3 linked regions of the Xenopus tropicalis genome follow. The protein of the gene in region 2 purifies or fractionates together with the protein of the main gene of each other region. This does not show direct contact. Links are inferred from orthologs where the notes say so. Each region holds a gene or a part of one and is shown on either strand. Other genes may lie near its edges.

Region 1 (10,659 bases), on a different chromosome or scaffold from region 2:
GTGAAGACTGCATGGCAGATTGGGGGTGGCAGTCAGTGAGCAAAATCCTGTCCATTATGTCTAATGGAATCCTGTAGTTCCCCACAGCTGGAAACAGTCAGTACTTCCACTTGCAGCCCCCTGTTTGATTTATTGCTATGCTGGCCCACCCTGATAACGTGCCTGCAGATTGTTAAGGAGGTGCAGCCATGGGGACTCTTTACGTGCTGCCATGCCTTTAACAACGTAAAGCGGGAAAAGACCCCTAATGAGTACACGCATGTTCTCCACCAGCTCTTTCACTGGGGCGTAATGGCTGCCAGTACATGTATTTACTAATGCTGCACTCTCACCAAGTGGGTATGGGGGGAAGGTGCTGGATGAAGACTGCTGCTCTTTGGTGTGAAGGTCGGACAGGCCAGGGGCCGGGGTATGGGATGAGAAAGTGTCCAGCGCAGACTTGCCTGCTGGGGGGTGCAAAGGAGCGTGTTGAGGGGGAGGCTGCTGCTGCTGCTTCATGAGCAGGGCCTGGGCCAGCTGCCGTTGGTGTTGCTGGATCTGCTGCTGCATGTTATTGATTGTGCGTGCAACCTGCAAAGGGCACAATACACACGTCATATGGAAATCATGGGAAACACATAATAAGAACAGTGTGTTGCTATCTATCTAACTCTTGTTACTGTAACTATAGAGGAGGCAGACTCTGGGGGTCCCAGGAGGCATAAGGGGCCTTGTGGAGAACTGACTGACATTATGGAAGTAGGATTTAGGTACCATTCCTGCATAAAGGATAGAAGGATGTTATCTTACACACGTTACAACTCCCTGCACCCCACTCATTGTTGCCCAATAACAGCTGCCCGAGCTTTCCCAGAGTGGTTTTCCTGCTATTGCTCGTGAGGTTCCATGGGGCTACGCTGGGATGGGAGCTGGCTTTTAGATGCCTTTTAGCATTCAATGACACTTGCAGAGGTGTGAAAAGCAATGCTGAGCGGATTCCACTTACTTGCTGCTCCTGCTGTCTCATGGGTCCGGAAACATTGCGCTGAGCCTGTAACATCTGCTGCTGGAGTTGTAAACGCTGATACGCCTGCAGGTAAAATGAGGGACAGGTCACCCCGGTGGAAATGTTCCAAGCCAGAGGAGCGCAGAGCACGGGAGCTGCGGCAGTCCCTTACGTAGCAATAGACTTAATGGAGGATGACAAGATTACTCATTCTATTTCATTGGCAGTCCATGAGTATGGGATATCTAATGCTCAGCTGAATGCAACACACAGGTCAGAGCTGTGTAACGCCATCTCTAATTGCCCGTGTCTGTACTACAGAGGCTACTTGGTACTTACCAGCTGCAGCTGGTAGAGCTGGTTCAGCATGGTCATATGCTGAGGATTAATTGGCGAAGTTAATAGTGCAGGGTTGAGACCAATGTTTTTTGCTGCAAACTGCAAAAGCTGTGCTTGAACCTAAAACGATAAGAGAAACCAGAGAGTGTTATTCCAGCTGCAATAACAAGGCTGCTAGATAAAGAGCACCCCCTGTACCTCACAAATATGGCTACCAGGAAACAATAGGATGACCTGTAGTATGCCAGCAAGCAGTCTGTTTTAGCAAGTGGTAATTAAAAGGTGACCCAAAATGGCGGATATGGGACAAGGCAGTTACTGCTTGTAGGTCTATTTATATACAGTAATGGTGTCCATACACAGGTGGATTTGGGCACTTCAGACCGAGTCGTTAGCTTATCTGTCCATGTGTGGGGCCCTCCGACGGACCTCCCTGACTGATATCTGGGCGAAAATCTGCCAGATGTCAGTCAGGCAGGTTTGATTTCCCATCGGACTGAGGAAGGTATCGATGTGATCCTTGCCCTGACAACTGTATCCTGTGGTTGTGACCAGATTGCTTGGACCTAGGGCCAAACAAACAGATATCTCCCACCTTACCAGGCATATGGGGGAAAGATCCACTTGTTTGGTGACCTCGCCACAAGGGCAGATCTTATAATGTATGGCAAGCATTAAACTTCCTATGTTCATGTAAACCAAACACTTACTATCACCCACTATTGTCTTCTGTAAATCTCCAGTCAGGGTAGAAACAATGAAAATGTGGTATTTGGATACATCTGTAGAATGAGCTACTGTACTTGGGGTGACTGAATGCTTTGGCCCACCTTACAATACACAGCACATCATGCTACACACATATTCAGTAACAAACGCACCTGAGGGGATAAGAACTGAGGCACTTGAGCACGAAGACTAGGCTGGGATGAGTTGAGAGGTTGCACTGGTGGCTGCTGCTGCTGCTGCATGGACCTGGCTTGTGCTGCTCCACTATTGCCAAACATACCCAGATTGCCACTCTGCATCTGTACCAACATGGAGACAGTGAGTAAAAGCGCATATTAAGGAACAATGGTAGAGAGTATTTAGAATTGGGAAGATAAGCAACGCGGTGCCTTAGAGAGAATAATGATTAAAACAACAATACAGCACAAATTCTTAGGCTCCAGTGACTTAGTATGGCTTCTCTGCTCCCTAATGCGGCCAAAGACAGATATATATATATATAGCATAATGCCCCGTGCATTGGGATAGTACTTAGATCCCTTGCCACACACTAAAGATTGCAGGTTGGTACCCTTCTTGAACAAACACCTGTCTTACCTGTCTAGTGGAATTCAAGTTCTGCATGCCAAGCCCTGCTGTCATGGCACCCAGGGCCTGATTAGGGAGTGCACTGTTTGGATGGGGGAGTTTCAGGCTTGGTGAAGGCAAAAATGGTGAAGAAGTGGGCTCTTCCGCTAGGCCGCCATCCTGATTGGAGAGGGAGATGGTGAGCTGTTGGCAGGATCCAGAGAGAAGGCACAGAGAGGCATGTGGGGAGAGAGGGAGGAGAGCTGTTAGGGTACGGAGCCCAGTCAGAGCCAATCAATACAATATAAGCAAGGGCAGGGCAATAGCAGGGTCTGTATCCCTCATGTACCCAACGAGATCCAAAGCTTCTGAGGGGTTAAAAGCTTTGCTGACATTTAAGCAGAGACAAGCACATGGTTCATATGTCTGCTGCTCTCGCTCAGCTGTTCTGTCAATATCCCACTAATCCTTCCCTTCCCCCCCCAGCCCAGTCTGTGCAGGGCAGCAGCGGGCAAAGCCTGAATAGATCGGGGGCCAATAAGTCACCTCTGAGCTTTATACAAACTCCTAAATACTCTGAGCCCCCAGCACCTCATGTAAAGCAAAGACCCCTTGGCTAACCTTGTGCATGTAGACATTCGGTCATTCGGCAAAGGTAAATGTCAGCATTAGGATAACAGTTACAGAATGAAAGCTCCAACACTCCCTGTGCCACTGCACCAATAACCTAGCAGGATTTCCCATGGCCCACAAACACAACCCCTTCCCCATAGAATGGAAATACAAGTATTCTATACTGCTGGGCTGAACCTCCAACCAATCAGTGGCTGTCGATGACTGGGGGGGCCAGTCTGTACCCAATCATTACCAGCTATCAGTTGGTGACATCCCAGCTATTCTGCTAAATACACACACTGACACGGCTGGCACATTCATACACAATCGCTCCATTGGTTCCAAAAAGAACCACTTGTTACCTTGTCAAGAAAAGTGGGGCGGTCCATGGAAGACTCTTTGGAGATTGGTGGTTGGCGGCAGCTCAGGGGCTTGGTGACCATCACATTATAGTCTGCCAATCCCAATCCACGCTTGTCTATTTCCACCTTCTTTTCCAGGAGAGCGCCTGCAGGAAAGGCAAAACATATAGAAATTCTCCTTCTGACTTGTAAAGCTTGAAAATGGGGGTCACTGACCCCAGCATCTACAAAACAAATGCTCCGAAAGGCTAATTTTGATTTCTATCATATTACATTATGTGAGTATAAAGGGTAATGCAAAATATAGTATAGTGCCCCATTAAACTCCCCCTGGGGTAAAGTCATAGGGGCAGGATGAGATTCAATTTGGGATGCAGTTCCACCACCTCACTGCTGTTATGAGCTCTGTACTAAAGGAAAACAAATCCTCCATGTGTAATGGCTTGGCCGGACAAGAGAGTACTACTGGCTGGCACATACCCTACACCAGTGACTGGGACACTTACTCATGGCCTGGTCCAGATTCATATTGTTACTTTTCAAGGCCTCTTCAGCAGGCTCTTTCTGTAAAGAGGGATAAAGGTTTTTAGAAAGGATGAGAAACCTTAAACATTTTCTTAACTACCACTCCCTGCAATATTAGCCCCCTAACTACCACTCCCAGCAACGTTAGCCCCCTAACTACCACTCCCAGCAATGTAAGCCCCCTAATTACCACTCCCAGCAACATCAGCCCCTTAACTACCACTCCCAGCAACTTCAGCCCCCTAACTACCACTCCCAGCAACGTTAGCCCACTAACTACCACTCCCAGCAACGTTAGCCCCCTAACTACCACTCCCAGCAACGTTAGCCCCCTAACTACCACTCCCAGCAATGTTAGCCCCTAATTACCACTCCCAGCAACATCAGCCCCTTAACTACCACTCCCAGCAACTTCAGCCCCCTAACTACCACTCCCAGCAACGTTAGCCCCCTAACTACCACTCCCAGCAACTTCAGCCCCTTAACTACCACTCCTAGCAACGTTAGCCCCCTAACTACCACTCCCAGCAACGTTAGCCCCCTAACTACCACTCCTAGCAACGTTAGCCCCCTAACTACCACTCCCAGCAACGTTAGCCCCCTAACTACCACTCCCAGCAACGTCAGCCCCCCCACCACACAAATCTATAGCTCACAAGGAGTAATGATAACTGCTTGCCTAAAAGAACCAGCCAGCAGAAATGTCATAGACATGGGTCAAAATATCCATTACCAGCCCCTTCCCGTGACATCATCGTGCCTTACTATACACCCTATCCCAGAGTTACCACCCCCCCTAAACCCAGCCTGCCTTATTATGCACATTCCCACGGCTGACAAAGTACACGGAATAGCCCCGTGTCAGATAAAGCATTGCTCTGCATTTCAAGCCGTTTCTGGCGACACGCACCGGGAAGCCCATATCAGTGAGCTGTTTAGTCAGTCGGGACATGATCCAGACCTCGTCGGACTTGCTTGGAGTCTTTATGACCTGTGCAAATAGAGCAATTACACAATGATGACAGCCCACAGCAAAGCAGAGCTTGGGATGGCTGCCAGGGCATTGCTTTGGCAAAAGGCAGCTTAATCATTTTTCTAAGGAAAAAGAAAAATTCCATCAAGATGGCGTATAGAACTCGGAGCTCTTAGGCCCCCAGTTGCAAGCCCCACTGCATGTAGAAAGCAGGGCAAACTGTATACAAATGGAGTGTTGCCGCGGCCATTATGGCAGATATGGAGTTAATACCGTGCCAGCTATTACCCTGCAGGCTGCCCCTTACCTTGGAAAGTCCTTTTTTGGGGCCGTTGCCCCACGAGTTGCAGGAGGAGTTACTGTCTTGAGAAGCAGCATTGTTCCACATGTCTCCCTCATCTTCCTCCCACTGGCTGCCCAGGCCGGCCTCCTCTCCACTACTACCCCAGCCTTCTTGCATAGATTTGGGAGCTGCAGAAAAGAAAAGATGGTGGATTTCTAAGCAATGAGTTTCCATACAAGGTACATTTCTGTCTGTCAGGCTTCTGAAAGGCATGACTAAACAATCCCAGCACAGGAACTGAACCGTGGGGCCCTGTATATCTCTGCTTCCGTCCCTGCTGCGGGCCTGGCAGTGAATAAGTACAACATAACCTGGGCGCCCCACCTGGTTTGCACAGCATGGGGGCAGCAGCAGCAGCAGGAGCGCTTGTCCTTCCATATGTTCCGGGAGGTTCCGCAGAGCCGTCCCCCCAACCTGAAGTGCTGTTTTTGGGCTTCCCCCATGCCGAAGTGCCTTTGTCGACAGCAGCAGACGGGGATGGGGGCTCTCCCCAAGAGGCTTCAGTCTTTGAGTTAACATTAGGCAAATCTCCCCAGCCTGCAAAATAGAAGCACTGTCACTCTGTAACCAATCCTAGCCATCCTTATATAGTTAGCCTCACTCATCATTGCCTGCAAATCATATCCAACTGCTGAACTACATCCTGATCCCAGGCCTGTCGGTAGTGCCCATACACGGACCGATTCTAGCTGCCGATATCGGCAGCCATAGACCGATTTGGCAGCTAATCGGCCCGTGTATGGGCACTACCGACAGGCCTGCCCGACCGATATCTGGCCTGAAATCTCGATCGGGCAGGTTAGAAAATCTAGTCGGATCGGGGACCCCATCGGCTCGTTGGTGCAGTCCCTGGACCGACTTTGCCTATACCCGTTGTGAAATAGCCTAAATTCCCCCGTAGGTGGGGGATATCGGGAGAAGATCCGATATCCCCCAAGCAAGCGGTCTGAAGGTGTATGGGCACCTTTAGGCAGTGCACCGGATGCTGAGAGCTGCAGTTAAATAAACAGCTGAAGTGCTTACAAGATGGAGAGCCCTCATACTCAATGCTAATAACCAGATATTTATTAGTAAAGAATACTTGGTTGCTATGGGTTACTAGACCTGGTTTAAACCTTTTTGCCCATTACTACATGATCCCTCTAACTTCTATAAAGTAGATGTGAGGTGTCAGGTAGACAATACCCTAGAGAGGATTTAAAGATCCCTAAGGATTCTGGGGTACCAAGGGTGGGTCTCTGCTAAGACTGATGTTAAATGTGGCCTCTGGCATTGACGAAAACGTGATCTCGTGGGCACGGACTTCCTTACCATGTTTATTATTCAACTCCAATTTTAGACAGCTTTAATAGGACACCTAAGCCGCTAAGAACAAAGAGGCAGCATGTGAATAAGGAGATCTACCTGAGTCTAATCCTGCCGGCGCTTTCCCAGCCCCGAGGTGACATTGATAGGGTGCCCACTACTGCGCTTCTGTAGGAACTGGGGGAGATTAACCCTTTGCAGACAGAGTGTACTTGGAGTAGACTGTATGAGTTAGCACCAGAATGAGCAGAAAGGCAATGGATGCCGAGCCTAAAGCCTAAGCACTACCAACGCTGGCCAACCTGCCACCCTCTTGTATATTCAGTATAAGTATAAGTCTGGCAGTTGTAGTTCAGCAACAGCTTGAGTCTGAAGCATGCAGAAACACAACGAGAGCAGAATATGCTTAAGAATTAGTTCCACTCCATACACAAGTGGTTATGGCCAACCTACCTGGACCGAGCAGTGGGGATCGGTTCTGCTGGGCACTTGGCTGATGAGTTGGCTGAGGTTCAACCATATTGGTATTTGGAGGGGTGCTGGGAGTGGCGGCGGAGTTGGTGTTTGTTGCAGGGATGCTCTGAGATACCGGATTATTCCTATCCCACATGTTTACAGTTTTAATATAATTGCTCGGGTCACCCCAAGCTGAGGTACCATCGTCTATTTCCATCTTACGGCGTATAGACGGCGGAGAAGGCTCTTGCCAGCCGGTGGAATCAGCTCCAGCATCCTTTTGTTTGGTTGGTGGTGTTGCTGGCACCGGTCCACCAATCCACACAGATCCATTCTGTTTTACAGATGCTGCTCCTCCCCACCCACTCACATTGTTCTCTTGGGGTTTATTGGCCCAGTTTTGCTGCTGAGGAGCTTTCATGGGCTCCCCCCAGCCTGTACCGGAATTATTCTTGGTGTTTGTGCCATTTCCCCACCCGCTGGTCCCAGGCCGCGAGTTCTCGTTCCACCCAGATCCAGGCTTACTGTCGGAGTCCCACCCTGTCCCGTTTTTCTTTCCGTCGGTAATGTGTTGAGGAACAGGGGGCCCGTCGGTCCAGTCTCCGCCCGTAGAACTCCAGCTTGGATTTGATTTTTGCCCGTCGGCCCACCCTTGGGGTTTGGACTTGTGAGGCTCACTCCAGGTGGGCGACTTGTCCTCCTGATTAGCGGACGCGCTCCAAGCGTGACCACTTTTGGCAGCAGCATTGACAACAGTAGAGCTTGCGTGTTCCCCCCACCCCCCTGGACCATTTGGCGTTTTTTCTCCCCAGCTTGCACTTACAGGGGCAGACACAGGTTGGGTGTTCATCCACCCCGATACTGAAGAGGTATTGGTACTGTTCATGATGGACCCTTCACTCTTTCCCCCTGAGTTTGAAGGCTGAGTATTTGAACCCCCCCAGGCCTCCGTCCCAACATTTTTATGATCGGGACGCTGAAATTCTTCCAATTCCCATGCAATATTCTGTCTGACGGGGACCTGTCCCCAGCCGGTATTGGAAAGGACTCTCGGGTCAAGATCTTGTCTTGGCATCTGCTCTGCCATCCCAGGGTCTCCCTGCTGACCATCTCCTCCCTTCCCTTCATTGGCATTCCCAGCGCCGGTGCATCTGTCGTTGGCTGCAGTGACAGATGCAACCGCTTTGGCCCTAGAATTCATTTGCTCACCTCCCTGCTGGGTGCTCTGCATGCCAACGCTGGGGCTGTCCCACCCTGTGGGTCCTTTTCCATTCATGTCATTGCTGGAATGCTGGTTTGGGACCTTACCCCACTCACCGTTCACACCGTTACTTGTGCTATGTCCAGTATGACCCCATGGTCCGGGATGCATGCCTCCTACGCTGCCTCTGCCTCTCCCCCAAGGCAGCACCCCGGGGCTACTAGGTGGTCCTGAATCCCATGCACTCATTCCACTGCCATCTTTCTGAACTGCGCAGCCATTTTGTTTAGAGCTGCCATCTCCTCCTTCCTGACTGAACCCTGAACCGCAGCTTCCTACAGACGGGCCGCCCTGCGATAACCCCCACACCGAGCTGCCCGTGCCGTCACCTCCCGCCCCGCTGACTTGAGAAACTGAACCATTAGCACCAGGAAGGCCTTGCAGGTGGGGTGGGATGATGCCCCCCATTCCGACAGCCATCCCCCAGTTTGGCAGTCCATTTGTCTGCATTGCATTAATAAGGTTTGGTGAAGAATTCATGGGGTTAGTGTTATTTGGTCCATCAGTGTTAAGGTTCTGAGGTTGTACGCTGAAAGACACATTCTGAGAATTGGACGTTTGTGGTTCTGTGCTCTCTTGTGACTGCAGGTTCCTCCAGGCACCTAAACTACCAGCTGCGTTTCCATTCTGGTTGCCCATGTTCTGTCCAATGGCACCGACTGGACTTGAAATGCTGGAAGGACTGCCGCCTCCCAAAGTCCCTTCATGTCCAAGTACAGGCCAGGCAGCTGGGTTGGCATTCGGGTTAAGGTTAAGATTAATGCCAGTATTTGGGTTGGAAGCGCCCCAGCAGTTATGACTCCTGCTCTCCCCAATCATGTTGTCCACCTTGCCATCCCCACCACCAATAGGGCAGTGAGCAATGCCAGAGCTGGAGCCTGGAGCGACACCCCAAACTCTGGCTAAGTTCCCATTACCATTTGCCCCACCAGCTCCAAGGGCACTCTGGTTAGAAGTGCTTTGGATGAGTGCTCCATTGGCGCCATTATTGCCATTTGTTTTCTTTGTATGTCCAGTGAAGTTGCCTTGGGCACTAGTAGCCATGCTACTTTTCTCTGAGCCACAGTTGGAGGCAGAGTCAGTGTCTGTAGTACATTCTGAGGCAGATTCACTCTCAGTTCCAGTAATGGAAGGCCACGCTTCCTTGTCAGTCCTGTCTATTATCACTTTATCCCAGCTACAAGTGGCTTCACCTCGGAGAGACGGCTGCAGTCCCCAGTGGGAATTCTCATAATGGTCTCCCAAACCACTGTGACTGAGATCTGCCAGGGGGAAAGAAAAGGCACATGTTAGTCAGCTGAATGCTTCAATACTATGCCCCCCCCAGTCCCCGTAGTGCTGGGCACCCTATACACATACTAAGTGCCTCTACCTCTACTGCCTTGTAATATATCCATTCCTCAGGGCCAGAATATCTGTGCTATGAAACGTGGCAAGGTAAACAAAGCATAGGAATGGGATAGGGCCCTTAGATTGTAAGCTCACTGGGGCAGGGACTGATAGGAATGGGATAGGGCCCTTAGATTGTAAGCTCACTGGGGCAGGGACTGATGGGAATGTGATAGGGCCCTTAGATTGTAAGCTCACTGGGGTAGGGACTGATGGGAATGTGATAGGGCCCTTAGATTGTAAGCTCACTGGGGCAGGGGCTGATGGGAATGGGATAGGGGCCTTAGATTGTAAGCTCACTGGGGCAGGGACTGATGGGAATGTGATAGGGACCTTAGATTGTAAGCTCACTGGGGCAGGGGCTGATGGGAATGGGATTGGAACCTTAGATTGTAAGCTCACTGGGGCAGGAACTGATGGGAATGGGATAGGGACCATAGATTATAAGCTCACTGGGGCAGGGGCTGATGGGAATGGGATAGGGACCTTAGATTGTAAGCTCACTGGGGTAGGGACTGATGGGAATGGGATAGGGACCTTAAATTGTAAGCTCACTGGGGCAGGGACTGATGGGAATGGGATAGGGACCTTAGATTGTAAGCTCACTGGGGCAGGGACTGATGGGAATGGGATAGGGACCTTAAATTGTAAGCTCACTGGGGCAGGGACTGATGGGAATGGGATAGGGACCTTAAATTGTAAGCTCACTGGGGCAGGGACTGATGGGAATGGGATAGGGACCTTAGATTGTAAGCTCACTGGGGCAGGGACTGATGGGAATGGGATAGGGACCTTAGATTGTAAGCTCAC
Region 2 (11,398 bases):
GATTTCGTTGCTGCAAATTATGGTGTGCACCCTATGGACTAATATATAATTATATATATTATATATATATATATATATATATATACACATAAATGTACAGGATATTCATTGCTCTTGTGTATTATATTATATAGTTAATAAAGTACCCCTATTTGAAAATATAAGGATATTATAAGATTTTATAATATTTTGTAAAATTCATGCATTTCTGAGGTGACTTCTAATAACCTCATATTTTACTACATGGGGTCATTATTTATTGTGATACACAAATCTCAGTGAGTCATGTGACAGAAATTACATCACTAACTACCAAGTATAAATAATAACATAACTAAGCACCATTTCTAAGGATAGAATTTACAGGATATTCATGGCTTTTGTGTATTACAAATAAATACAATACTGTTAGCATATTACCATTTGAGTTCACTGGATAAAGCCTGGACATTAAAGGCCAACACCATAATTGGTATGAAATACTAACTCAAACAACTTACTTGTACACGTATGAGATTCCCTAAACCGAAAACCCATAATCCAGAAACTATCCATATTTGTTGCAAATCAATCCTATTGGGTTTATTTAATGTTTAAATTATTTTTAGCAGGCTTAAGCTGTAGCCATCTAATTTAAGGAAAGACACCTTATCCAGAATACCCCAAGTATCAAGCATTGTGGATAACACATTCAATATCTGATGTTGATGCAAATGAAGTGTACTACAAGGTTATATATTTAGCTGACAGTAGTTGCATACTGATGGGCATGTCTAATGATATCAACATGCTCTTCCCAGCAAAGGAGTGTTGAGTCATATGGGGTGACTAATGCAGCTTATTGTTACTCTAGACTTAAAGTTATAATTCCAACCATACCTATCATGGAGAGACACCCTACTTGTGTTAACAAAAGACAGCTGTTAGCAAGAAAAATATTTTGGACGCAACAATGTTTATTAATCCTTTACCTGCCAAGCATGTAGGTACTATATGCTTGCAGTAAAATAATGCTCTAACTACCAAGCATGTAGTATCTTTCTTCTTGGGCAGATAAAGGTTTCTCTCTGCATTAGTGGCTTTTCCACCTCTGCATAGAGTCTGGAGCCATGAGAGCCCCCTAGGGAACAAGGCTATTAGGGCTGTCATGTCGTTTCTGCGATGCAGTTGTTGAAGGGCTGACCTCCACCAGCCTATGCGATCACACTTCTGCTGCTTTGCCTGCCTTCATCTTTCCCCTAGCAATGCCCATTGACTTCCTGCTGCATAGCACTCTGCAAAAACAGGTTTCCATGACTCCTCCAGCTGTAAGATTTTCCCTTCAGCTTCAAACATAAGCGGCCTTTATTTACACACTTATATATTACATTACATTAACAATTATTTATAAAGCGCCAACATATTCCGCAGCGCTGTACAATAAGTGGGTTACATAAATTGGACATACAGAGTAACATATAAAGCAATCAGTTACCGATACAAGAGGTGAAGAGGGCCCTGCCCAAAAGAGCTTACAATCTACAAGGAGAAAGGGTTGAGACACAAGGTGTGGGAATGGGCATGACCAGAGTTGTGAGAGGTGTGGCACAGGGTGTTGCTAAACTAGATTAGGGTAAGCTTCTCTGAATAAATGTGTTTTTAGAGATCTCTTGAAGGCAGAGAGATTGGGAGAAAGCCTGACAGTTTGTGGGAGCGAATTCCAGAGAAGGGGGGCAGCCCTTGCAAAGTCTTGAATGCGAGCGTGTGAGGAGGGAATGAGAGAGGAGTTGAGGAGCAGGTCAGTAGAGGAGCGTAACAAGTGGGTTGGATGGTATCTAGAGATGAGTTCAGAGATGTAGGGTGGGGCAGAGTTATGGACTGCTTTAAATGTGAGGGTCATTAGTTTGAATTTTATCCTGGATGGTAGGGGAAGCCAGTGCAGGGATTGGCAGAGTGGGATGGCAGAGGAGGAGCGGTTGGAGAGGTGTATGAGCCTGGCAGCAGTATTCATAATGGACTGGAGTGGGGACAGTCTTTGGAGGGGAAGGCCAATTAATAGGGAGTTACAGTAGTCCAGGCGAGATATTATAAGAGAGTGAATAAGAATTTTGGCAGCATCTTGGGTGATAAATGATCGGATTTTGGAGATATTTCTTAGGTGAAAGTGACATGATTTGATAAGTGATTGGATATGAGGGGTGAAGGACAGGGCAGAATCAAGGATAACCCCAAGGCACCGGGCCTGGGAAGATGGGGTGATGGCAGAATTGTTAACCGTTATAGATACCTCGGGAACAATGTGGGCGTTGGATGGGGGAAAGAGAACCAGTTCAGTTTTAGAGAGGTTTAATTTAAGGTAACGTTGGGACATCCAAGTGGAGATAGCGGACAGGCAGGAAGAGACGCGAGTTAGAAGCTTTGGGTTGAGATCAGGAGAGGAAAGATAGATCTGAGTATCGTCAGCATAGAGGTGGTACTGAAAGCCAAAAGAACTGATTATTTTGCCAAGTGAGGAGGTATAGAGAGAAAATAGTAAGGGGCCCAGGACAGAGCCTTGGGGAACCCCGACAGAAAGAGGCAAGGGAGAAGATGATTCCCCATTGTAAGAGACACTGAAGGATCGATCTGAGAGATAAGATGAAAACCAGGATAAGGCAGTGTCACGAAGGCCAAGAGAGCGGAGAGTCTGGAGGAGAAGAGGGTGATCCACAGTGTCAAAAGCAGCAGAGAGATCGAGAAGTATTAGTAGCGAGTAGTGTTTTTTGGCTTTAGCCGAAAGGAGGTCATTTGTTATACACTTACATACAACTTTTAGTAAAGATTAGTAAATTTGTTTGCTTTTTTATTTTGCACACTTATATAAACACATACACACACATTCGCACAACTTTTAGAAGCGTACACACATGTATATACAAACCTCAGCTTTTTTTTTTTTTTACTTCATTTTTTAAATGTATTTTACCCTTTTGTCTTTTGGCAGAGTGACTATTGGATCAGGCATTTTGACCATTAATTACACCGTTGAATCATTTTGCTATTTGATTGATTTGCACAATTATTATTCCTTATGTGTTTTTTAGCATAGCCTTGAAGTTTGTTACTTTGGTGTATAAAGGTGCCTTTACCCATGCTGGATTCATCACATATATGGTTTTCTGGGAATCTCTGTACATTTAGGGGTCTTACAGTATATAATATGCAGTTGGGGCTTTGTTTGCAAAAGCATGAACATTTATATGCACCATTTTCATTTGGGGTCTGTACATATATACTTTGGTATATCTATGCATATTGGGCATCAAACTCTTCAATAGACTTCTGGCGTTCATATTTAGGGTGATTTGTTTTTGTATGTAAGAAATGTACGAGATTAACGTAGCAAACTGCAACATTTTTGTTTAACCATTTTGGATTCACCAGAATATGTACTTTCCAAAAATATATTGTTTTCCTGGATCACCATAATTTTTTTCAGCTCTTGCCACAAATAAACTCGTGGTGCGTTTATGAAAAAGTGTAAATTTGTAAGCCATGAAATTAGTATGCACAAGATATATTTTGGGGTCTCTAACATGCCATGTATTTAGATAAACTTATACACATTGGGCATCAGAGCTGTTGAGTAGACCCCTGAGGTTCAAATTTAGGAAGTTTTATCTTGGTACCTAATGATAATGATACGTGGGAGATAAGATGCTGCGCAGAAGAAGCTTTGAGGAAAATTGCCAACTTTAGGAAAGCTTTGCGGTTTGGTACTGTGAATTAGAAAGATGTGTACCCAATTTGGATTCGGGGAAATCTTAAAATATTTTCCAAAACATTTTTTACTAGGGTACACTGACTTTATTTTAGCTTTACCCCACATAAAATGATGTAAATGTGTTGATTTTGAAGAAGCTGGAAATATATCTTCATCTTAGGGCCTCTACATGCCACATACTTAGGTAAACCTATGCATTCATGTTTAGGATGTTTTATCTAATGATATGTGGGAGATAAGATGCTACAAATTAGATTCTTTGAGGTGATTTTTTGAAATAATATCTAATCCGCCAGCTTTAATAAAGCTTTGCAGTTTGGTACTTTGAATTAGAAATATGTGTGTACCCATTTTGGATTTGGGGGAATGTCTACTTTCCAAAAATATTTGGCTTTATGGTCGAAACTTTTTTGTAGCTTTACTCTTCTCACAGTAGCTGAAGTGACATAAATGATTGACCATATGGAGTGTCTTCATCTTGGGGCCCCTACATACCACATACTTTGGTAAACCTATACACATTGGCCATCATGTGTGAGATAAGATTCTGCAAATGGAAGCTTTGAGGAAATTTTTTAAAAAAAATTAAAAACTGATAACTCTAGGAAAGCACTGCAACTTGGTAGTTTGGAGTAAAGAGACATATTTACTAATTTTGGATTCATCAGAATTTGTTCTTCCCAAAAATGCATGGTTTTCTAGGGTGAACCTACTGTTAGTCAAATTTTTGGCCTTGAAATCTGAAGTATGCAGATTTCTGGACCAGTGCTTTGAAATTTGGTAGTGTACCAATGAAAGTTTTGGGTGAGAAATCCATGAAACTCCATAAAACTATAAATATTTGGTATTGGTATGTTCAGTACATGGTACTTTCCAAATCAGTTGTATTTATTTGCATAAAATAAATGATGTCTCTGATATGTGTTTACATTATGGATTTTTTTTTATTTTTTAGCTATTTAGAAGGATATATCTTGTTACAGAAATGAAATTATACCAACATTCTAGCATATTTTAAAACCTATAAACTTAAGTACCCCCAGTAAAGGCCCCTAAAATGAAGGAGCACAAAATGTTCAAAAACCGTCAATAGAAGTACAACAAATACACTGCCAGTGAAAGTGGTAAAGGGGACCTTAACTAAACATTAAATCAGTGTTTGTTTTTAAGAATCAGACCCAGAAAACATAAAGGAATAAACAATGTAACTGAAATTAGGTCCCCAAAGGTCTTTTCAGGAGTCAGGGCCAAGAGTGCAGAGAATACAAACCGTCAAATACTACTTAATAGCAATTATATGTACAAATATAGAGAGAACCCCTTAATTAGCAATTGTACAGTTGACAGAAAAGCTGTATTAAACGGCTAGATCAGGCATATGGTAGATTAAGGATTATTGGACTTGGATTATTGACAATTTTGTCAGATGAAAGGCAGTGAAGAGGAGTAGCATTCCTGCATTATATGTTGTGAAAAATGTGTAATATAAGCATATTATAGGTTTTAGGACCATATATACATACATATAAAAGAATGAGGCTGAAGGCCAAGAGCTTTTATACAGGTCATGAAACACCCCCTTCCCTTGTGGCATCAGCTCCACAGTCTGGGAACCACTGCCTTATTTGATGCATTACTTTGTTCTCAACAATCAGCAGCATAAATGCAAAGGAAAGTGGAAGCAGGAGACTTTTACAGCTGTGGTGAATCTTTTGCTAGCGCTAGGGCACAAGACAACTACTATATATTTGTTATTATGGTGCCAAGTTGACTATTAATGGACTACTGACAATCATGGTTAAGGAAAGGAAATACTTATTTATGTCAGTTATCCAACACAGGTAACACTTTGGCAACTTGTTTTTTATTTGCAATGCTTCCAATGGGGTTTAAACAAAGAAGCATTTTGTAGTCTACCTACAGTTCAATACACAGTCTATAGCCAAATGATTAAGTGCAACAATACATTTTGGAAAAAAAAAGAGAAAAACAAGCAATGCCCCTTTGTTGGATGTGTATTTAGCAGGAAAAAAATGAGAAATGACAGGGACTAATGGGGTATAGTTGCAGCACCAAAAAAAAGTCTAACTTTCCTCAAGCTGTTGGACTACACTCTGCTAATCTTTCCACAGCTACCTCTGCAACAGTTAGACATTACCACTATACACTATCAAATCAATTCCAGAGGTTCCAGAATGCAGAATGCTGTTGACAGAATGTTGAGTTAACAGAACAGCAAACTATTCCTCACCTGCGGTTCCGATTTCCATTCATGGAGGTCAATGGACGCTTCACCGAATCTGTAGCTCCCAATGAGGAGTAGAAAAGAGATGGCAAAGAGTTCCTCTTGTCTCCTGGAGTACCCTAAGCACTGGGGCCTACTGCCCCCAAAGACAAGACCCTTTTGAGCCACCAACAACCAATGGCACTGAGCTTTTGCAGGCAGATAGAGGAAAGCTAGTTGGCAGTGTAGTGTAGTAGTCACTCTAAGAATGGGGCTCTCTCTTGGCTTCTCCTGCTGGCTTGTCACACAACTCCACAGCTGGGGGGGATTTAGTCACCTGGCTGCCTGTTTTCACAACAGGAGTTTGTGATAAGAGCTTGACAGCTGAGCAGCAATTGGCTGGAATGAACAAGTGGGAGGGGAGAATGGATAGCAGCGCAATGGCGGTTGCCTTGGTGATTGGCTGAGTCACCTCCAAGTCCTCATCGCTTACTTCCACCACACTGGCCTGAGTGGGGAACCCCAAAAGCTGGTTGGCTGACTCATACTCCAGCGACCGGAGTGAGAGCTTCTTGTGCACCCCACTGCCGCCCCTGATTGGTTACCTTTTTGCCAGAGTGTTAATTTTCAATGAAAGCCAACAAGCGATTGGCTGACTTCTTCCAACACCTCAGCGGAGTAAGAGCACCTGGTCGCTATTGGCTGCCGAGGAGTATGGGGGTCCTCCTGTTGACAGGGCAACAGCTAGGAGTTTATTGGTGAAGTTTTCCGTCCACGTCAGCCAAACAAATTATGTTATCTGCCTCTGATGGAGCAGCAGCCACTGACTTCGCCCGGTCCTCCTGTCTCCTCCACTACTGAGGAGGAGTGAGACTCTGATGCCTGCACCCTCCCACTCAGGCCGGACATGACGCCGGGAGTAACGGTAGCTGCTAGTTCCTAGTTGCTAATGGCGAGTGACATCACAAACACGTGAAGACGTGGCGACGTCTCCAACACGTAACATTCGGCGCCTTCTTCAAACGCCTGTATAAGTAGCTTATGGGTGAGTTCGCTCCTCAGTGGTTACTCGGGGATGCTATGGAGAGAATGGCTTGTTAAAGGTAGTGGCACAGCGTGCTATTGAGTGAGTATTGGGTTGCGCTGGGAAGCATTATTTGTTTTCTTGGGATAGGATTAAATGCAGGAGTTTATTCAGTTCTTGCCTGAATACTGGGGCTCTTGCTGTTCAGTGGAGGCTGTGGATCTTTTACACACTTGCTATTCTCTGTAAGGAGTGTGCCCTTAATATTAGGGGGTTGTTGGAGCCTGCTTATATGTGGAGTGCTTGTATTTCTTGCTTTAAGGGTGCTGATGAGTTTTGGGGTGTGCGTTTTGTTGGTTTTTTTTTTGGGGTTTTGATTTTTTTTTCGGTTATGTTGACATGCTGCACAATTCTGAGCTATGGGGAAGAGTTTTGGAGAGTTAGATAATTTTGGGGGTGGCTTTTTTTTTTCTATTAGGACATTTAGAGCCTAGTAGGCGCCTTCTTCACTTGGCTATATAAACAGAACACAGTCCAGCTCTTAGTGGTTACTGGTGGATGCCTGGAGAAGAACACTTCACTGAACGCAGGAAGTGCTTTTAGCTCTTTTGAGTTGAAATGATTCGCTTTTGTAGGTGTAGAATAAAATCTGTATTCACTTTTCCTTGTGGGATCTATCTGTACATTTGGAAAAAAGATGCACTTGCTGTTGCTGGCTATAGCTGTATGTACACTTGCTGGTCTCTGTATGGTGTGTGTGCCCTTAATATAAGGGGTTATGTGTCAAGTGGTTTTATTTATTGGTGTAATAGATGCTCTTAAGTTTTTAAGTGTGTGTATTTTTGTTTTATTGAAGTGGGTTTTTTATTTTTTTTGTGTATTCTGACATTTTCAGGTGAAGGTGGGTGGATGTGCTGCAAATGTGTGAGCTATAGGGATGAGTTTTGGAATTTGCTTACATTTTTGGTGTGTTGCATAATTTTAGGGGATGGCTGAATTTTTTTTGAGGGGACAGGTTTTTGTGTGCTTAGGCATAATTCTGGTGTGTGTGTGTGTGCGCCCAGGAACGGACTTTCCTTGTCACATGACCATACTTTGGGGCGGGCTGATCGGGCCTGGATGGGATGCCACCTGGAGCGTTTGAAAGATGTGCGATGTCTGCGACTGTTGCAGTAACCGGAAGCAGCTGTTACCATGGAAATGTGATGCTTCCAAACAGCTCCATGCACTGTTCAGTAACAGGACCTGGGAATGTGTGAGGTTTTTGTGGTACCGGACTGGCTACCTACCTCCCTACTAACTTACTTACCACACATACTTGCCGCAGTGTGAAAACAAGTAGGATCTATCCTACATGCACTATATTTTATATTTCCTATGATTATACATTTTCCAACTAGAATATAGTCCAACTATATAAAAAAAAGTCTATTTCCTTATATGTAAAGGTACACTGTTCCATTACCAACTAGAAACTAGATATATCTGACCATATTATCTAGTTTCTATTACTGTTCCTTTTCCCACTAGATGTTAGCAAAACTATACTGAATGATCTATTTCCTAATCTGTAAAGCTGCTTTGTTCTATTACCAACTAGGAACTAGATATGTCTGACCAAATTGTCTAGTTTCTATTACTGTTCCTTTTCCCACTAGATTTTAGTCCAACTATACTGAAAGATCTATTTCCTAGTCTGTAAAACTGCTCTGTTCCATTTTCCACCGGCCGGAAGCTTTCGCTGGGAATAGATATTTACATGTCACATCCATGTTCCATTTACTTCAGATTTGGTTTGCGAATCTTTATAAATTTGATTCGTAAAGGCTTACGTTTCGCGCATGCATAAAACCCCTCCGCGAAGGATTCTGAAGTTAATGCGAGTGCTGCTGAATCGTTGGGAGATTGGAAGCCAGTGCAGCTCGCAGTCTCTTCCGTCTGCAGGAAAGGCTCTGTATGCACTACAGAGATCGCGAGTAGGCCCTTTCCTGCTTATGAAAGAGGCTGCGCTGTGTAGTTAACAGCTGGGCATTTTTTTTCCACAGCAGTGTGGACTCAATTCACTGACCACCAGAGTGTTAGTGGGGAGAATTTTTCAGATATGCCAAGGGATCAGACGGCAAGAAGGAAGTGAAAAAATAGTGAAGACCATAAAAACAAGCAAAGTGAGGCGGTTCTTGTAGGTAAAAAAAAAATACAGCAGATATATTGGCAAGTATGATATCAAGTACATAAACCTTGGCTGTGTATCACATGTCTTAAAAAGGAAGGTCATGTAAGATTTTGGTGTAGTTGCCTCCAGGTTAATGTAGTTAATTTTCTGTAGTGATCTTATTGGCATGTCTAGGAATAGTGTATTTATAATCCATTTCTGGCATGTCTGGGGGAAGGGTATTTCAGAAAATGAAGGATCCAAAGCATCAAAAGGTAGGTTCTTATACACAATTGAGGTTTCTGGGTTAAGCAACGAGCTTTCAAAAATGCTTGGAGTATGTCATACTGTCCAAAACAAAAATAGAGCTCTGTACCAGTGATTTTAAATGGGATGATTGATGGGGCATATATGGCAGGTGAATTCTTACTGAAGATTCTTAAAGATGATACTGGCATGGAAGACTGGGGTTAAGGCAGATGTAAGTAAGCAGGCTGCAAGAAGAAGTCAAGGGAAGGCACAAGCAATGTCAGTTACTTGTTTTGTTTATACAACGAACCTAAACCCGCACTCCGTCAGCTCTCCAATAGAAATTCACCGCTCGGTGCACAATGCTAGAGAGGGATCGGCACCCTCCCCACAGACTCCAAGCAAGCAGCAACGGCACTCAAGAGCTACATACGGGACTTGCCCTTAAAATATCCTTTATTGCGGAAATGCAATGTTTCGAGGCTAAGACAGCCCCTTTGTCAAGCATGTCAAGTTACTTGTTTTGTGCAATGAAATGTACTAAGCTGTAGCCAACTGTATAAGAACTACACTGCTTCACTGTAACTATTCTTGGTTTCTGCAGTGTGAGCCAGTAAGTTATGCTGGAAAAAAAAAACCTCTTGCACCCAGAGTTATAATGTATAGATATAAATGAATCACCCTTATATTACAGGGTCTCTTTCAGATTGCACTCACCTTCAATAATATTCTAAGATGCAAACTCAGCAGGAGCAAAGTTTGCCCAAATAAACATCATTAGATGTGTCAGACAGTCAACACGTACAAGTTTAGGCGTTGTTGGCCATATGCAGCATTAACTTGCATGCATCCACAGGAAGGTTTAAACTAACAAAACTTATACTAGCTGTGATGCCAAGCCTCACTTCATTCATTTTCAGGCCAACATAAATCACTTAAGATGATGCAAGATAGTCTTCAAGCTCTAATGAACCAAAGAGATAGTGGCAAGGAGCACATTTGCAGAGGAAATTACCATTGTTGTTTGGGTGTACAAATTCAGGTCAGGAAAAACCAGATTTCCGACTGTATGAGTTCTTTTGAAAGGAAGACACCACCCTCAGAAAGACCAGTTCCAAGACTCCTACACAGTTGTTTATTAACTCCCAAATTGATGCATACATTTTGCAATGTTTATGAACAGTGATGAAATTCTTCATCAAAGGAGAAACATAGGGGACAGACAAATACTAGAAAGAAATGGACCCAAGTTGAAATAAGTACACCCTGGTAATAGGAGTACAGTATTGTTAAGAACAAGTAACAAATGGGAGATTTTTTTTGTACTTTGGCATGATAAACAGACAGGGCTCTTTCCAATTGCCTTGTTTGATTTGTATGCAGTCAGGATGAGTATGTAAGGTGCTAGTATGTACTGAAACGTATTATAACTATGAACATTAATAAAATATGATATTAGATAAACTTGTTTGAAGAATTTGGCAAGTGTGATAACGGTATTGAAGAGCAGGTACCGAGAGTCAAAATAGACCCCAGGTACACAGAAGCCCAAACAGCACCCCACCGGCACAGTCAGTACTGTGACAATTATCTGCTGTACATAATTGCCTGTCTCACAAGAAATTAATCTGCCATTGTAGTCACACAAACATAAATCTGGCAAGCCCATGAACAGGCAACTTTGCAATGCTTTGGGGAGGAGGCAGTGGATTTTGCAACATTTAAAGTATCAGGGTCTGGATCCACTGCTGAGAAAAGTAACAAATCAAAGAAAACATACCAGTACAGTGTAGTCTTTTATTCATAAACAGTTTGCAATTGATGGACAAGCAGCAGCGTTTTCATAATTTGTTATTTTTCAGTCTGTCTGAAGAATCTGTATTGTAACAATACATTAAAAAAAAATATCTGCTTTAAAATATAAACCATTAATCTGCTGTTAAAAAAAAAACAAACATTTGTGCTGCCGTGTTTTAGCACGAGCCGCTGGCATATAATTTTATTACT
Region 3 (10,659 bases), on a different chromosome or scaffold from region 2:
TAATTCCAAATCCTTTTCGATTATGTTAGTTGAGCAAAATAAACTTTACTTACACTATATAAATTATTTAAATTTTGTTTCAGTCTTGGAATTCACAGTCACAGCATTGTTATTGAGGAAAGTTTTGTATAACCCCAAATCTTGTGTGTGCGTCAGAATAGGGGACCTAATGTCCATGCCCATTCCCAGGCTACACAATTATAGAGCGTGAGGAGTGCAGTGACATATCTAGAAAGAGCAGAAGTTAAAGTAACTGGCTGCTCCACGGGACAGGTAATATACGATTGACAACTCAGATTTTAAAATGCAAAACACTTATGACTTTTTAAGTGTGGGTTACAGGTTCCCTTTAAGCAGAACAATTAATGCTTTGCACAAAATTGGGCCTGCTCGATCCCCTTCAGAACAGTGAAATTACATTCTGCAATACATATTAGTAATTAAACAAGGCAAGGAATAAATTAAATACCAATTCTTAGGTCATATGGTTAATTCAAATAAGCTGAAAAACAAAACAGAAAAGCGATAGGAATGGAAGCACAGCTTGCCAGAGGGATGACACTGCTAACACAGTTCAGACTTCAGAGTTAAAGTACACTATACCTAGTAGCCATAATAGTGTAAATTTTATTTAACCAGTCTCTGACTCTTGCTTGGAAGCAATGTATAATTGGGAAGTCTTAATATCAGCTGTTTCACAATACAGGAGAGCCCCCATTATATGTTTACCAAGGGACCAGAAAAAATGGTGTAAAATCCAGAGACATGTAAAATCAAGGAAATGCATTGGTGGGGCCATAAAAAACATTGTGAACTTCAGGGGAAATTAAGTTATGTAAAATGGAGGTTTTATGGTAAAAGAATATAATCACTTGGTAAAACATACCTGAGGGAGCTGCCTTGTTTGCCAATGTCCCAGATATTCCTTGCTCCCGAGCCATCTGCCCAGGGCCTGCTTGAGCATTCTTGTCCCACAGGCTGACATTTTTGTAATTGTAATTGTTAGGATCCCCCCAAGCTGCTGTTCCGTCATCAATGTCCATTTTATGACCAATGGATTGTGAGGATGGTTCCTCCCAGCCACTTGGCTCTTCCTCCTTGGAAACAGTTGGCTGGGGACCACCCTTCCACCCTGAAGTTGGCTGTGACCTCCCATTTCCAGGTGGCGGGGGAGCCTGAGAGCCCCCCCAGGTGCTAGGAGTTGCTGAAGATGGCGTTGATTCCTGCTGTTTGTTCCAGGGTAGTTGGGGCCTAGCTGCCTCACCCCAGTTTCCTCCTCCCTGGGGCCTCTTAGTCTCCTCCCAGCCAGTTCGTGGAGCTGGATTTGAGTTTGCCCCATTACCCCAAGAACCCACATCATTTTGTCCAACTTCACCCCAGCCAGAGGAGGATTTGCTTCCTGAGCCTTCCCAGCCTCCAGGGGCCTTGGGAGGCTCCATGTCCTCACTACCATTTCCCCCCCAACCATTCTTTCCTGCTGACCAGCCACCTCCTGGATTAGACTGGCGAGTACTCCACCCAGGCTCCGCAGCCCCACCACTTTCATTGTTCCAACCTGGAACTGCCTTGTCCTCTGGTCGTGCTCCAACCACCCCACCACCTCCTCCACCAACCCAACCAGTTGGGCTGTTTTTATAGTCATTCCAGCCAGTTGCTTTGGTGTCCTTCCATTCTTGGGTTGAAGGTGCAGGGACAGGGGGCTCCCCCCAGCCTGACTTGTTTTGATTGCTTTGGCTGGGAGCATCCCCCCAACCCCCTGAGGTTTTGGCTTGGGACACGTTCTCCCAACCTTCAGTCCCACGGTCTGATTTGCCTTCAGTTCGAGAGGGCACTTCCTCACTCTCCCATGATGCATCTTGCTTGATCTGGGTTTGGCCCCAGCCAGAGTTGGACAGCACCCGGGGATCCAAATCAGTGCGATTCAGTAAAGTCTGAAGAGCAGCCTGACTGTCTGGGAGGGCAGGTCTGTGTGAACGTCGACTGCTGGAGTTCAGGCTGTCTCCGCTTCCTCCGCTCCCCCCTGCTTTAGCGTTGCTTCCAGTGCTTTGCCCCCCAGCTTCACTTCCTGCAGAGCTGGGGGCTCGGCCCCAGCAGGCTGCTGATGACGTGTTGCCCTGGTTATCCGATAGAGAGTGGCCCTTCTGATTGTCCCATGCTCCAGTGCTAGAGTTTCCTTGGTTCAAGCCTCCCCACTCTCCCACCTTTAAGTCCTCATGCCCGGCTGGCTGCTTCCATTCTCCCTGAGACGCCCCTCCAGCCCCCAATTTGTTCCCTTCACTCCATTTCACTTCACTGAGGTCTGCCTGCGGGCTGTAACCCCAAGAACCATTCCCACTTTTGCTTTCCCAAGATTCCCCCCTTGACCCATTGGGTCTATGAGATGAAGGCGCTTTCCTTGCGTCTTCTCTCTCTCGTCCATTGCTCCCAGAGTTGCTATGTCCACAATTAGCATCTCCTGTGGCAGACTGACCCCTTCCCGCTCCCCAAGAGCCAATCCCCCCATTCTTTCTTTCTCCAGTGCTTTGAGCAGGGGAGTCTGAACCCCGGCAGGAATCCATTGAGCCCACCCCAAAAGCTGTTCCCTTGTTATCAGGAGGGTTCAAAGTATTTGAGTTCGTAGAGTTAGTGTTTCCATTTTTTGGTCCGTCAGTGTGATGGGTTGTGGCAGACTCCCTGCCCGATCCTGCAAAGCTGGAACCTGCATTTTCCATCTTTGACTGCTGCTCCCGAGAGGTCAAACCCACTGGGCCGAGTTGTGCGCCAGAAAAGCTGCTGTCTGACTCTGGGTTCCCTTTCCTGTTGCCTTCCTGGACAAGGGCAGGCCAAGCAGATGGGTTAGTATTTGGATTAAAGTTGCTGAAACCAGAGGCAGAACCTGCTCTCTCTGACCCACCCCCATTTCTCCAGTTTCCCAGTCTATTTACACCCTCTGAAGCAGGGTTGGAAGACGGGACGGGCTTAGCCTTGGGGTCAGATTTCCAGACGCCCTGGATACATTCACTACCAGGCTGCTGCTGCTGTTGCTGCTGGCCCTGGCCCCCTCGCCCTTTGTGGCTAGTGGTGCTTCCTTGTGGGGGTCCCTTCTCCGAGGCTGAGTTCGAGGCACTGTTGTTGTCTGTGGCGTTGTCGGAAGGGGGCTCTGCGTCCACGCCGGCTATGCAAGGCCACTCTTCCATGTCCGACCCGTCTACAATCACTTTGTCCCAGGCGTGGGGAGGGTTTGTGGTGGGGCCGCTGCTGGTGGGGCCTCCTGAGCCCCAAGTGGAATTTGCATAATTTGAAGTAGCAGCTGCCCCCGATGATGAGTCTGCAGTTTTAGAGAAAGAGAACATTAGTCTTTAGATAATTTATTTAATTTATTAAGGACATCCAGTAGCACTAAAAACTAATAAGATAAAAATGTTAGGAGTTAGAAATCAGCAAACCATGTATACAGAGTTGGGTATTACTAATACTAATTACTAATACATGAACACATATCTTCTATCTAGTGTCATTCTTTTCTTAAAACCACTAAAAGCAACTGAAATTTATGCCACAAAGGAACTGGAAAACTTTGATTACAAAAAACAAGTATGTAAACATTTTTTAAAAAATATAGAAAGTAGCCCTAACCAAGTACAAATTATTTGAATAACATATTGCACCCAGGTCAAAAGATGCGTTGTCGGAGAGTACTAGAAAGTGACCTTATAAGGTAGGGGTTTTCACAGACAAATGTTTGGTTTGGAGGACCTCTTGCTCATAATGAGGAAAGATATCTGTATTCATATTCAGCTATATATATATATATATATATATATATATATATATATATATGAAGAACATAAGCACTTTTGAAGGTCTGCCCACTAACAGCATAGGTAATACTCTCCGTGATGTGTAGGCTAATGCTAAAAAGAAAACAAAGATTGTGAGGGGAGTAGAAGTGGGTAGTTCATGTTTATTAGTTGGTAATGTTCTCTAAATGTTACAGCTGTAATTCTGTGAATTTACAGATGTTTATTCAAAAGAGTGATTTATTGCAAGATGCCCCTGAAGAGGCCTCAAGATGTGAATGAGATTCCTAATGTCTGAAAAGCAACTCCAGAACAACACGTACACTGCTAAGTGACCGCAGAAAGGAGTCATTGTGCTTCAGAAGCAGCACAACCACATACAGATCAGGCTGCAATGCAGTCTTTCAGTCATCCTAGGTGTTCAAGCAGCAGCAACATTACCTAATGTGACAACAACTAAGAGGATCGATATAGCCATTAGCAGAATTTTCAGATTTCTGTAGAGGGATATTTATGAAGACCCCATTAGCACCCATACCAACCTGTTGAAGCCCCGCTTTCCCCTGGCAGCAGTGTCCCCGCCCCTGGCTGTGCGTTGCCTGGGCCGGCCCCTGGAGCAGTGGTTGAGGGGGGAGTCCCTGCTCCTCCCCCCGGCAGCATACAGGACGCTGGAGGAGGCTGTCCACGCTTCAGTAACACTTTGTGGTCCTGCTGGCAGCGGAATCGCGGCGGCACCTCCCGAGGCATATAGCGGGCGGTGCTGGGCGGTTGTCCGTTCGGCACTGCCACCCTTTTGGCATTGTTGCCACCATTGACTGGTGGCGAGGGGGAGCTGCCAGGTAGGCTGGCGGCCGTCGCTTGGCTTGAACTTGGTTTCGTCACTTCGGGCACTAAAGAAACACAAAGCTTAAATGAGGCTGCAGCAATAATCAGCCAATAAATCAGGTCTGCTCCTCTATAGAGTTAGACTGCATTGGATTTCCTCATCAATTAGCCATTACATTGATTTAATTGGCTTTCAAGGTCCTTAATTGAAAGGGAAGGGAGATAATCACAACCTAAGCAGTAGTAAGTATATGTAAATAAAATCATTTCTGGTTTAATATGAGCTAAGAACTAAGAGCTGTTTACATTTTTTTCCACTATGGCACCATGTATTATAGCGCATACACAATAATAAAATAGGAAGGAATACTGCAAACATATTAAAAACATATGTACTGTTGCTAGGCAATATGTTAGAGGATGAATAAATTCCACCTTAGTAGCTGGTTATAAAAAGAAAAAAAAAAAAAAAAAAAGATTATTTCTACTGGCTATCGTCTATGTATCAGAATGTATAACTTTACACATACAATGCAAAAGTTAATATGTATAACCAAGCATTAATGGTGAAAGCGGACCCCCCCCCCCAACCCCAATCCCAATCTGCATCTTCCTCCGCTTATTTTCATGTGCACATTAGTAGCACACATATGTTGCTCAGCAACTTACCTTTGGTTTTTTGTTCTGTGACCTGTGTGAAAAAAAAAGAAAATGAACAGAAACATTAGCAATCCATACAATATCCTACGGTACCCTCCTATGCTTGTAGTATGATATAAATGTGTAAAATGATATGAATAAAAGAATACTTGAAATCAAATTAAATTAAGAAACTAGAAATTATAGAACAATACATATCCCTAAAAGAATTCTAAGAACTTATCTTTGATGAAAAAATGTCTTGGGTCTGAAAGATACTCGATATAGAACTGAAGTAATTTAAACTTTACATTGCACTTATGTAGAGTTTTAAATGGCCTCTGTACTGGGGACAGAATCCAACCCACAATCATTGGAGGCACACATTTCATTTACTTAAACTGGGGATATGCTCAACACCCTAGAAGCTACAGGCCAATATCACTTACTAACATGATCATTTAGCCCTTGGCGATATTGGTCTCCACCAGACTATAAAGCACTGTACCAAGAATTATCTGACTAGTCTTGGATAGAGACAACACCAACAAGCTAATTAGTCTTTAGTAATTTTTTTTGTTTTTAAAATAAACTTAGTGGCCCAGTTAATGTTATCAAAATGGCAATTCAGCGTTAACTGAACATAAATATTTACCTGGAGGCACCATGGGGCACATCTAATTATTACATGCTTAGAAACACAGAAAACAGATATTTTAAAAAAACTATTATGGATTATGAAGTTATTAAGAAGGAAAGATTGAACTGAACTTTTAACTGCCCCTATAATTATGCTTTGGTGAAGTTAAAAAAATGGTAGGTTGATAAAATCTCTACCATAAGAAAAATTACAAGTTTCAAGAACAATGTACGTGTCTTCCTTAGTCATGCTAGATTATAAATATTCTTACTCTTAAAAAGGACAGCCCCAAATTCTGTCTGCCATATTAGCCTTTAATGAATCTGTGTGTGCACTGATAATCAGGGCATTTCTAGCTGAATCTTCTGGAAACATTCCTGCTTTCCACATAATCTGGTAACTTTACTTTATAAGAAAGGAAAACAAAAGGTATGCAGACTATTGGAAAACACCCCTGAATGCTTCCTATGTTGTAAGTGCAGAGTGCTGGATAGGCAGTTCTGTTAATACAAGCTGAATAGATATCCACTGCAGGCATAATTTCTCTAACCTGCTTTTTTAAGGTGGGGGCGGGAAGAGAGAATTCAGTTGCTGGGTTTAGGACTACACATATATAATCCCATGCAAACTTCCATCACATACTACTCATTGTGCTACCAGATTGGCAATGATCTTTTCCTAGCAAAAGCTTATAACGAAGTATTATGGTAGTTTGACAGAAACCAAAAGGAATAGGAAGACCCTTCAGTGGTTTTTCTAGTCCTTGCTTTATGCATAATTAAGACATTTAGGGATCCCTAAACAGGTACTGTAACCCTAAATGCTGGTTCTCCACAGACACCATCACAATGTAATAAGTAACTTGGTAGCCTGTAAAGAAAAAAAAAGAAAACTAATCTAGAGTTATGAGGACTGCCGTGCTAAACGCAAAGCTGCAATCTTGAAACTAGGAATATTAGAAGGTGAATGATTCTAGAATATTTAGACAAGACATTTGGGTTTAAGACCTTCTCTGAGGTCTATAATAACTAGTCATAACTTCTTCCTAATGAAATTAAAGACTTGTGAAATCATTGCCTATAACTGTGATATACAGTTCAGAGAGTAAAAATTTAACATGCACCTCAAGTCTCTACTTCAGGGGCACAAAAGTTACTAAGGGCCCAGGGCAGCTGCCTATATTTGTCACCTACGAAGCTAGCAAGACGTCCACCTTGGCATTATTCTAAAGGCTTTCTGCTGCTCACCATCCACAACTAAATGTGAAATCTTGGGGATTCCATGAATAGCAGACAAAACTCTCTATGTGCCACAGGTCTTATGGCAATTTCGCACAAAAAATATTTCAGTCATTAAATCGCTGCATAAATAAGGCATAAAAACATTGCCCATACATTCACAGATTTGTTTTTTTTTAATTTATTTTAATCAAGTGACGGCTGGCAGTTTAGAAAAAAGTTTCAGATCATGAAGCAATGATATAATTAGGGAAGTTCCCCTTCTAAAGATGACCATACACACACAAATAAAATTGTATAAACAAAGATTTGATGCATCTGCTGATGCAGCATATTGACCAGCGTATTGGCAGATGAGAAGGTGAAGAGAAGCTGCAACAAAAAATGAACAATATGACTCCATATGGCTCCTGATAGCATAAAATAATCCCCATAAATCCCCAAAGCTTCATACAATATGTAGTCAGTAGAACTTGTGCAAATGCATTGTTTCTACAGAAGTACTCAGGCTGGTGCAGTTTCTACTAAACAGAAGCACTAGCTCAGAGTCTCAGGTAAGCAATTAAAATCAACATTAAAAAAAAGACCATAAACCATATCTACACCTTTCCTTTTAAATAATTAGGCCGACTACATTTTCAGTACTAAACCTATTTACCTGAGCCATACTTGCATAGCTGCATAAACCACATTTAAGAAAGGACTAAAGCAAGGACAAGTCAGAGGAACCTACCTTCTGAGCAGCTTCTTTCTTCTTTTTATCCTCTTTCTTCCTTTTCTTGTCTTCCATTAACTGTTCTTCCCTTTCTTGCTCCTTCTCTCTAGGATAACAAAAAGTACTATGTTTTTGCAAGGCTATAAATCTCATGGTCGACAATTCATAGACTTTCCTTCCAGCTGCATTAATTTAGTTCTTTATAAGCTTCCTATTTATTTTGTAGAGCAGTGATTTTTTTTAGTCTGTACAGAAACACAAACCAGACTCAAACCTGTCTGGAGAAATGCTAGGATTTCTATACGTTCTTGCTCTGGTATTATATCCTTTCACCTGAAGTAAGAAAACAGCAAGTACATAGTTTCTCCATTCACAGTCTTCACTCAAACACAATATTTTATAAATACTAAAAGGTATAACAGTATTCTTAATAAAAAAAACAAACAAACAGCTTTTCCTACACACAGAAGCTAAAATTAGACTGTATTTGCAGATGTGTTCAGCTTCCATACAACACTAAACTGGCCATACACAGCCAGATCGATTCTTTGGCAAGGCTACCAAACAAGTGGGTCGGCCCCCAGTATGGCCATTCATGTGCTGGGCAAAGCCGGGCTGATCCAGTCGTTGCTCTAGGGCCATGGATTAGATCATCCAGTGGGGCCTACAGTAAGTCCGATGAGGTGGCATTATTGCATCAATCAGCTCCTTGTCCGACAGGATTTTCCAACCCAGATATTGGCTGGGCAGGCACCATGACAAGCTCCACCACTGCCTCTCCAAACATAGTTTATTTATTGGCCAGTGTCGGCATTTTTGCCGGCACTTGTATGGACACCTTTACTCCAGTGGCTGTATTTGTTGAGTGTATTTTACCTTCAGGTAGAGAGAAGCTGAAACATCAACCTCCACAGTGTCTCTCCAGCATCAGCCTATGGGCAGACACACAAAATCGACATTGGCAAAAAATATACATGCCCCGGGGGCCTGTCAGCGCAGAGACACGGCAGAGGGGAGTGCATGTACTTCTCTCTGCCTGCCTTTTCCCTGCACAGCCTTGTGTGATATTAGCCTTACAGACGATAACTAGTAATGAAGAAACAGCTATCAAGCACAATGGCTATTCAATTGCTCATTGGCTGGAACACGGCAACACTGACAAGGATGGCTGCGGCTCACTGAGCACTGTGAATAGAGAAAAAGCTGGCAGGAATTTCAACCACACATTATGGCCTTGATCGCTACTGTTTGTGAGGAACACAGGCTACAAATGAAACCAAGGTCATTCTCTTGGTCAGATCCTGTTAAAAACAGCCAAACCCATGAACACATACGCAGGTTTCATAGAAAAAACACTCACAGTAGGTTTTAAATAAAAAAAAGTAAACATATTGCCAAGCAACTTTCCAATAATCATTCATTAACACTTCTAATGATTTTAAACTTATTTATAAAGGTAATTGCAACTGAAAGCAGCGTCTGTTTGGCCCTTTTCCATTCCCGCCTTTGACTCTTAAAACAATGTAGCAGATGTTAGGTTATTTAGTCAGTTGCTTGTGCTACATTGTTTCAGGAGTCAGATTTACATTTTCTTAAAGGTTTTAGTTCCCCTTTTGTGTGGTAAACTCCTGAGTACATTGATATTTTTTTCTTTAAACTGTGGTTATTTTTACTCTATCTTTGCACCAGGCTGTGCCCAGATACTGGAATGCATTCCACCTACTGGAATATTATAGAGAGATCCTGCTGTGCAACCAATCAGATTGTATCAGTAGTTTTGTCATTTGAAGTAGAATAGTGAACAAAAATTGCTGATTAGTAAATAAAGTAGAACACCCTTATTCAGGTTGCCAGTATATGAACGTAGTTTTCCTTGTTAAATTTACTTCATTCTGCCATTACAAATGCTATGCTCCGGGGTCTAAAGTTATATTAAACTGATGTCTAATATAATGCAGATTTAAACAGCTATTCCGTTTTCTAAATCATTTTCTTTTTAAACATGCAAATCTGGATTGTTTATTTAGCCACCAAGCTTGCCTGGAGCTTTCCATAAATGCCCGATTATAATAAATACATCATTCCAACTCTCCCTGATCACCAACAAGGATAAAGGTTTGCTTTAGACCACACATTTCTGGCAATGCTTGCTAGGAAACATAAATATATTTATATTGAAGAAAGTAGACGACATTGCTCCATTGTATGATACCCTACCAAAAAAGGAAAAAAAAAGAAGATTGTCTCTTTCAAAGTCATATTAATTCTCAAAATTTGGACATTTGTGACCACACTCCTTACCAACAAATGCTTGAAAAGTGTGAAACTCACCAAGGACAAACTGAAAGACACTCTGCCAGCACAAATAGGCTCAGCTGGCAACAGTCCTAAGGGGCCACCCCACAGGAGCAGTCATCCGTCTTGTCAAATGCTCTGGTAACTACCAACTGAGTGTAAGCTGTTGGAGCAATAGACATATCAATACTAAACTGGCTATTTCCTATTCAAGGCAGCAGAGGTTGTTTTGAGTGCCTTTCAGCTGGTGGAAGCACAGCAGCCAACAAAATGCCTGAACAACAGCCCTTGCAATAGAGCTCTAAAACAACCATATCCCTTTAATGAAAAAGCCCTTAACTTGAGTCAGGACACTTGTAGATGAGTGGGCAAGAAGCCAATTATGTTATCTGTCACTGTGCAGAGCAAGTGGTATAGAAGAGATCTTAGTGAGATAGGGCAGAGACACTAGTACACTTGTCTGAGACTGATAAAGAGAACATTTAATGCAGAATCACTGGGAACCCTGATAAAGAAATAGCAGTGCAA

The links. Proteins that work in one complex are often made in the same cells at the same time.
Region 1: the proteins of ago3 (region 2) and tnrc6c purify together in Homo sapiens (affinity purification with mass spectrometry; 3 studies listed by BioGRID and IntAct, with this or other methods). This does not show direct contact. The link is inferred for Xenopus tropicalis from reciprocal best matches to the Homo sapiens genes AGO3 and TNRC6C.
Region 3: the proteins of ago3 (region 2) and tnrc6b purify together in Homo sapiens (affinity purification with mass spectrometry; 6 studies listed by BioGRID and IntAct, with this or other methods). This does not show direct contact. The link is inferred for Xenopus tropicalis from reciprocal best matches to the Homo sapiens genes AGO3 and TNRC6B.

Annotation. Positions count from the first base shown.
Region 1 is NC_030686.2:45,703,844-45,714,502, forward strand, and holds part of tnrc6c (trinucleotide repeat-containing gene 6C protein), read right to left. Parts: intron 9,723-10,659; coding exon 7,197-9,722; intron 5,976-7,196; coding exon 5,763-5,975; intron 5,567-5,762; coding exon 5,403-5,566; intron 5,114-5,402; coding exon 5,033-5,113; intron 4,162-5,032; coding exon 4,104-4,161; intron 3,744-4,103; coding exon 3,598-3,743; intron 2,825-3,597; coding exon 2,651-2,824; intron 2,353-2,650; coding exon 2,206-2,352; intron 1,445-2,205; coding exon 1,325-1,444; intron 1,070-1,324; coding exon 986-1,069; intron 571-985; coding exon 333-570; intron 1-332. UniProt on the Homo sapiens protein: Plays a role in RNA-mediated gene silencing by micro-RNAs (miRNAs). Required for miRNA-dependent translational repression of complementary mRNAs by argonaute family proteins.
Region 2 is NC_030678.2:81,755,891-81,767,288, forward strand, and holds the start of ago3 (protein argonaute-3), read right to left. Parts: upstream 6,959-11,398; 5' UTR 6,013-6,958; coding exon 5,994-6,012; intron 1-5,993.
Region 3 is NC_030680.2:121,694,799-121,705,457, reverse strand, and holds part of tnrc6b (trinucleotide repeat-containing gene 6B protein), read right to left. Parts: intron 7,943-10,659; coding exon 7,855-7,942; intron 5,296-7,854; coding exon 5,274-5,295; intron 4,670-5,273; coding exon 4,322-4,669; intron 3,308-4,321; coding exon 887-3,307; intron 1-886.